2 linked regions of the Saccharomyces cerevisiae S288C genome follow. Changing the gene in region 2 together with the main gene of any one other region gives a genetic interaction. Each region holds a gene or a part of one and is shown on either strand. Other genes may lie near its edges. The genes, in order: SED1 and MNN9.

Region 1 (3,553 bases), on a different chromosome or scaffold from region 2:
ATCTTCCATAAATGTGCTGAAGTTTTTCACTGTGAACTCGAATAAAGTTTTCGTTATAGCAATAGATAATATCGACGAGTGGTTAAACTTGCACATCAACATAGTTGAGTAAGAGGTGAAGAAAAGTACACCGCTTCCGGTATATATCGCCTCCTGATTAAGAGATCAATGGAGAGCACATTAATAAGTTTGTATTAAAGAATTAAGAACTAAAAATAGTGTATATGATGATTATATAAGAATTATTAAACTACCCCTATTGCTTTTAGAAAACCCTGTCTTGAATGAGAGGATGTTTTACACGCAACGCGTAAGAAACATCTTTAAAGAGACTAGACATGAAACGATACTGCTCAGGGCAATTTAGGGGCTTTCCCACAAAGATGGTGGTATAACGGGGCTAGTCTGTCAAAAAGCCTAGAAGTGAAAAACGAATAACAAAAAAATAACATAATACTGAAAGAAAGCATTAAGAAGGCGGATGTGTCAAACACCACCGTTTATAAGAATAACATAGCAACACCAGCCAAACCTAAAGCACCTGGAACGACGACGTTAGCACCGTTACTGTTGATGACAACGGAATGAGAAGAAGCAGAGGATGAAACTGGGACGACTGTGGAGACGGTTAGACTTGGGTTGGCTGTGGTTTGTTTGGTAGTAACACCTGTTTCTTTGGTGGTAGTGCCCTTAGATTCGGTAACTGGGACAGAAGACTCAGGGGCTTCGCTCTTTTCAATAGTACATGGACAGTCAGTGATAGTCAAAGTGGTTGGTTCAGTGACGGTGTAAGTCTTACCGTTTGTGGTGAAAGTGGTTGGTTCTGGACAGTAAGTAGTGTACTCAGTGACTACAGTGTATTCGGTGGTTGATGTGGTTGTTGGCTTTTCAATGGTGCATGGACAGTCAGTGATAGTCAATGTGGTTGGTTCAGTGACGGTGTAAGTCTTACCGTTTGTGGTGAAAGTGGTTGGTTCTGGACAGTAAGTAGTATATTCAGTGACTACAGTGTAGTCAGTGGTGTAGTCAGTAGATGGGTTGTAAGGAGGAGTGGTGGTAGTGTTGCTTGGTGGCAAAGATGTAGTTGGTGGGAAAGCTGAAGTGGTACCGTTGGTTGGAAGACCGGTGGTTGGAGCTTCAGTAGTAGTATCAGTTGGAGCTTCAGTAGAAGTACCGTTAGTTGGAAGAGCGGTGGTTGGAGCTTCAGTAGTAGTATCAGTTGGAGCTTCAGTAGAGGTACCGTTAGTTGGGATAGCAGTGGTTGGAGCTTCAGTAGAGGTACCGTTAGTTGGGATAGCAGTGGTTGGAGCCTCTGTTGAGGTTTCAGTTGGTGCAGCTGTGCTGGTACCGTTGTCGGATTCTGGAGCTTCAGAAGATGTGATAGTTACTGAGCCAGAGGAAGTGGAGATGGAAGAGGAGGAAGTGACATCGGTGGAAGAAGCAGATGTACTGTTGGAAAATTGGGCCAAAGTAGTCGAGGCTAAACCGGCAGATAATAGGACAGTTGATAATTTCATCTTAATAGAGCGAACGTATTTTATTTTGCTTGTCTTTGTAGTTACGACTATAAATCAATAATTACAAGAGAATAGAAAAAGAGAGGTGAGATAATACGATAATGGAGAATAAAATAGGTCAGGTATTTATATGACAGTTCAAAAGAGGGCAGAGCAATGTTCCTTACTCTAGTTCTACCCCAGCCCCTACGGCCAATCTAAAAATAATGCGACTGGGAGCCATACCGTACTAATTCATTTTACCGTAGTAAAATGGATGAAAAACTGCTTAAAGGCTTTTTGTCTTATTTTTAGAAATTAGTGGACAAAAAATCATTTTCAATCAAAAATACACAAGAATGGAAAGAGATGACATCGAGAAGGGATGGATCTTTAGCCAAATAAAGTAATCAATGACCGTGTGTGCTCTGGCGCGCTGGGCCCTCTCCTCTTTCGTAATGAAAATATAATAACAATAACGGTTCTGATGGCTAATTTTAGCGATATATGCCTTTTTGTCCTCGAAAGAAGGCCGCATGACGTGGAGCAATCAGTGGTGTATGGAAGGTAGACCTCGGGGCTAAGCTTTCTCGGGGAGACGGTGCCGTCTGGGAGATAATTCCAACCAATATTACTGCTTTAGGTCATCCACCACGGGTAGTGTTGAGGATTACCTTTTTCGGTCTACGCAATATTATCCATTGACAGTTTGGCGTACCGTACAAAAAGCCGCTGCTGCAGGTTGTACTTCAACTTTAAGTCGCCGCGTTGCAAGTACATTGTGAAAAGATACTGCCTTACGTTAATTTTCTATATCCAATTGGGGAATATGCATGTCCGAATCTGGCAGATGCATGGATCGTTGAATAGTATTTCCAATTCCGTGTAAGCTGTTGCTTACATTAATCCTATAAGGGTAATGGGTGTGCTTGAGGGGATGTGTACATACCACTTTAGGTTCGAGCTGCATACCCCAATATGGAAAAACGTATTCACCTTAACTCCAACAGATTAAAATCCTAAATAGGTAAAATTACCCTTAACTTTTCTTTGTAGTTGTTGGGTGGAATGTTGTCGTTTTTCCATTTTTTATTGTTTTCGGTTTTCGGTTTTTTTATTTTACTATTAACCTTCACTATCATAAATTATCTCCTCCTTTCCCTCCGCATTTGGTAATGGATTATCATTGGAGTCAATATTGTTAAACACTTGTGAGCAACTGCTGCTGCTTGTTGATAATGTTGGAAATGAGGCAATATTAGCAGTATCAGGTTTCAGATCAATTATATCGCGGAGTTGACCTGTTGCTTTATCAAAATCAAATTTGACAATATAGTTACGATCGTCGCTGCTTCTTGACCGCTTTAAATTTCGTCCTTCTCTTTTTCTATCTTCGCCGTGTAAATTAAAAACAATAGCTATTCTCAAGTTTTCAAAGTTTCGTTTGTTTATTCTCATTTCTTTGATGGTAGTACATCCCTCGTTACTCTGCGAGGATGACGCCTTCACTCTTTTGCTTTTCACGAAAACGGTTTCGTCCACTTGTTCATTCCAATCCCTAAAAAGGCCGATCCTGTCTCTTAGAAATACTTCCCAAGTGGAATCCTTGCTTCCCATAGCGATATTGGCAACGAGCGCGCTTTTCAATATATGTACATTGTTCTTACGCCTTTCGTTGTTAGAGTTGACAAAGAAGTTAGATCCGTCGTCTAAAATTTCGTAGTATTCTTCCAAGGATTCGAATTCGTTTGATTGGAAGGCGGTGTTCATACAGTCATTTAAAACTATTATTGTCGAACCCGTGGAATGTGTGTATTTGGTCATTACCGTAAAAATTAATATCAAATGTCGACATTTTAACTCGTGTATAGTTTTATCTATCATTCCGCCGCCTCTTTTACTTAGTGTACACAGATGATCGCAGACTAATTGAGAAAATCCATCAATTATAACTAGTTTATATCGCACACTTTGAGATAATTTGAACAAATTCTGGAAGAAATATAATAGCTGTCCAAATTTCGTTATTCGGACCCGCTTCACATTTTCTTCCACGA
Region 2 (3,861 bases):
ACAGATCTTGAAGTTTTGGGATGTAGGTGGTCAAGAATCACTGAGATCAATGTGGTCCGAATACTATTCCCTATGTCATGGTATAATTTTCATTGTGGATAGTTCAGATAGAGAACGATTAGACGAATGTTCCACGACCCTACAGTCAGTTGTAATGGATGAAGAAATTGAAGGTGTACCCATCTTGATGCTGGCCAATAAACAAGATAGACAAGATAGAATGGAAGTACAAGATATAAAAGAAGTATTTAATAAGATTGCGGAACATATAAGCGCTAGAGATAGTAGGGTTTTACCAATAAGCGCATTGACTGGAGAAGGTGTTAAAGACGCTATAGAATGGATGATTGTTAGACTAGAAAGGAATAAAAAGTCAAGACCACCGATTTATAAATGATAAAGAAGCACCAAAAGAAATAAAATGTGAATGGTTTATTCTCAAGCTCAGAAATTAGTTGTTGTAGCACTTTTTATTCGGCATTTTTTAATATACATGTGTAAATTATATATATATATATATGAATATATATCTTGTTTTGTTTATTTTCAACTAATAATCGCAACAATATTATCTTTCAATAACGCTATAGCTTCTGTATGCTTTTTGCTCAGTTGCTCAATGGTTCTCTTCCTCTATGTGATAAACCAAATAGTTTGGTAAGCCAAATACATCGTAGTTTAATCTCTTCGCCATCTTAGCAAAACCTTCTGTTTCAATCAAGTGATAAAATGGGAAATTAGGGAACATGGCACCGTCTCTGTGAACTTCTGCTTTGACCAAAGTACAGCCTCCACCAACACCATCCAGCGCCATCTCTTCACCTGGTACGCCATTAGCATCGTAGAAATGAGCCATTAATGGCCTATAAGTGGCAATTTCTGCATAACCCTCGACAATAATCTCGTCATCACCCATCTGAGAGGCTATTTCTAAACCGGTGTCACTTTCTTGCCAGTTGTTGAAATCGTATGGTCTGATTGATGGTTGCTTCTTCTCTTCATCGTAAAATCTTTGATAAATGTTTGCAGCTAAGATAGCTTTGTTGTGTTTGGTCATGTCTTGAATTAAAGATGGTGGTGTCTCTATAATATCGGCATCTAGCCACAGCACCCAAGAAGTGTGAGGTCCTATGGTGGAGAATAGTAATTCATTGCGCGCCAAAGCCATTGCTGCACGTCTTTCCTTTTGAACATCTAAAGCGTGTCTTTCCTTCTCCATCAACTTATCAAAACTCTGGGAATTCTGTCGCAAAATAGTAATTTTACTAAATCTTTGAGTTTTCTTGTCCGTTTGAACCTTTTTAATAGCATTCTCCAATTTCTTTAAGGCCAAGTCACCAGTGGCTGTTCTTGGTGTAATGAACCCCAATTCAATCAATTCCCGAGGGTAATTTAGCTGCAGCAAATTGTCCCAGTATTGTTGATGAAATGTTTGCATTGGAGTCAATATCAAAATATGCTCCTTATTGACAGCTGCTTCTGACGTAGAGTGCAATTTGTTCAAATCATAATGTGCAATATGACCTTCTGGGATAATATCTTCCACGTGATCGTTGAACAACCAGCCGCTTTTTTTCTTATAAGAGTACTTTGGCATTTTGTATTTCTTGGTGAAGGGAAAATAAAATGTGTTTTCCTTTTCGTGTGCCCATTTGTGTTGGGAAATGGACTGGCCATTAAGTCCCAACAGAGATTGATCTCTCTGGAAAAAAATTATATATATTAGAAATATGGCCAAAACAGGTAGAAAAATGTTAACCCACGGGTTCTTTCTTAGGCGGTACGATACAAGAGAAAGTGACATTGTTTCCTAACTTTTTATTCTAGCTCTTTTAAATTCTTCTGTTTGAAAAATACTAAAATTGATGCTATTCTCTTCTTACTTTCACAAAGTGCGGAAGGAAAAATAGGTTCAGAAATAACGGGTCCCAAGAGCGGCTAACAGAAAATAATAAAAGCTTTTCTACCAATTGAGAATCCGCTTGGTTGACGACTTTTCCTCCTTTATTATTCTTGATTTGGTGTTCTGTTTTACTTATATCAAAATACTTCAACGCCAAATCCGCTACAACGATGGAAAGGAAAAAAAAAAAAAAAAAAAAAAGACAAACCAATGCTGTCGTGTCTAGTGACGATAAAGGCTGTAACTATTAATAAGGTGAATACTCACCCTCATCTTTTAGTTTATCAAACTTATATAAAAATTGTGTATGTACTGAATTGTCCTTGGTGTGCGAGTGAGAGTGTGTGTGTGAGTGCGTGTGTGAGTAGGTGAGTGTATGCGAGTGTATGTAAGTTTATAAGTGCCTGTGTGGCTACTATTTTCCGGTTCTGTGATGTGATGATGATTTTTTTGTCAGCTCCTTTGATTCATTCCATACTTTATTACATATGCTCATAAACATTTTCTTGTCTACATTGCTAGAGCTCAGGGGGAACTCGAAGGCAAAAATATGCGATGAGAGTCGGATTTCGCCTTGAAGAAGACTAGGTGATTGCTGCTGCGGCTGCGAGGTCCGCTGGAACGTAGTAAAAGTGGGAGTGGGGACCGCTCCGTCCTCGATGGCCAAGTCCGTACCCTCTTCTTCGTCTTTATTGGGTTCTGCCTCATGCCATGAACTCCTGTCCCGGTTTGTGCTTGTGCTTGTACTTGTGCTTGTGCTTGCGCTTCTGGCTTTCGTGTTGGCCGAGAGTAATGCATCCCGTTCAAAGTGGTATTCTTCAGCAGGTATCATATCTGCTGGGCGTAGATCCGCGCGCTGTTGCGTAGGACCGGCATTCGCACTTGATCCTACGCTAGAATTTCTTGAGCCTTCCTCGGATCGTCTGGTTTTCCCAGTGGAAGCGGTGCCACTCAAAGGCGAATCATATGAGTCGTTAACCCTCTTGTTTCTGTAATTGCTAGCACTATACTCATTTTCTTCGTAGGGCCTAGCGTTGCCACCTTGCATAGCATAAGGAATGGAGGTCCGCGGTCCCATTGGATATGGATACGACACGTAGGGTGTCATTATGGGCTTGTTCAGCATGTGAGGTGGAGGGATACCGTACGGATTATAATATGGTGACATTATGTAGCGATTCATGGGCATGTAAGGGTTCATGGCGCTCATGATGCCCGCCGAGGGCATGTGTGGTTTCCCATAACTATTGCTGCTATTATTCACTTGTATAGATTGTCTAGAACTGGCCTTTCCCAAGTATTGGACACGGGGCTGGAACTTGGAATGCTGAGTAACTTGTGCGGGCGCGCTTTTCACGTTTTGATTAGCAACAGGAGGAAAATGTGCAGAGTTAGACGAAGCCAAGTTGCCGTCCTTAATATTACCACCGTGTGTATTAGTGTTGCTATCCGATAAATTCAAAGGCGCCGGGACTCTGCCCCTCTTCAATGATTTCTTCGGATTCTTCAATGGTTGGGCTTTCCTCTTCTTCGCAGTGGCTGTCTCAGAATCCTCATGATCTGCTTCCTTGTCACCAGAGTCATCCTCCTCAGGGACATGCTCTAGCTCCGACTCCTGACCAACGCTGTTTCCGCCTGGCGAATTCTTAATGTTGCTATCGCTGCTGCCCTTAGCATTTGCTACACTGATTTCTGTATCACCAATTGGATCTTGTGTTGATTTAGCAATGGATGTATCCTCGGCAGTCGTTCTCAAACGGGCTGATACGGCCATTCTCACTTTCTATTTTCTTCTTTGAGAAACAATACCAAAATTTGTTACTGATTTGATTCTTTTTAAGTGCGTTTCTTCTGTATAAGCTAAAAAAACGCAAAGCACAAAGCGGAAAAACTAAACCTAATAAACTTCCCCCAGCGAGAAACAGATGTAAAGAACAACCGTATCAAGTGGCGAAGCA

The links.
Region 1: mutations in MNN9 (region 2) and SED1 are lethal when combined (synthetic lethality), as found in Saccharomyces cerevisiae (one study listed by BioGRID).

Annotation. Positions count from the first base shown.
Region 1 is NC_001136.10:598,757-602,309, reverse strand, and holds SED1 (Sed1p), read right to left. Parts: upstream 1,518-3,553; coding exon 501-1,517; downstream 1-500. Other genes in the region: SHU2 (Shu2p), read left to right, coding at 1-112; putative DNA-dependent ATPase RAD55, read right to left, coding at 2,622-3,553. UniProt on the Saccharomyces cerevisiae protein: Component of the cell wall. Major cell wall protein in stationary phase cells. Required to stabilize the cell wall in the absence of multiple GPI-anchored mannoproteins.
Region 2 is NC_001148.4:460,163-464,023, forward strand, and holds MNN9 (mannosyltransferase complex subunit MNN9), read right to left. Parts: upstream 1,805-3,861; coding exon 617-1,804; downstream 1-616. Other genes in the region: Arf family GTPase ARL3, read left to right, coding at 1-397; DIG1 (Dig1p), read right to left, coding at 2,319-3,677. UniProt on the Saccharomyces cerevisiae protein: The M-Pol I and M-Pol II complexes possess alpha-1,6-mannosyltransferase activity and are probably involved in the elongation of the mannan backbone of N-linked glycans on cell wall and periplasmic proteins.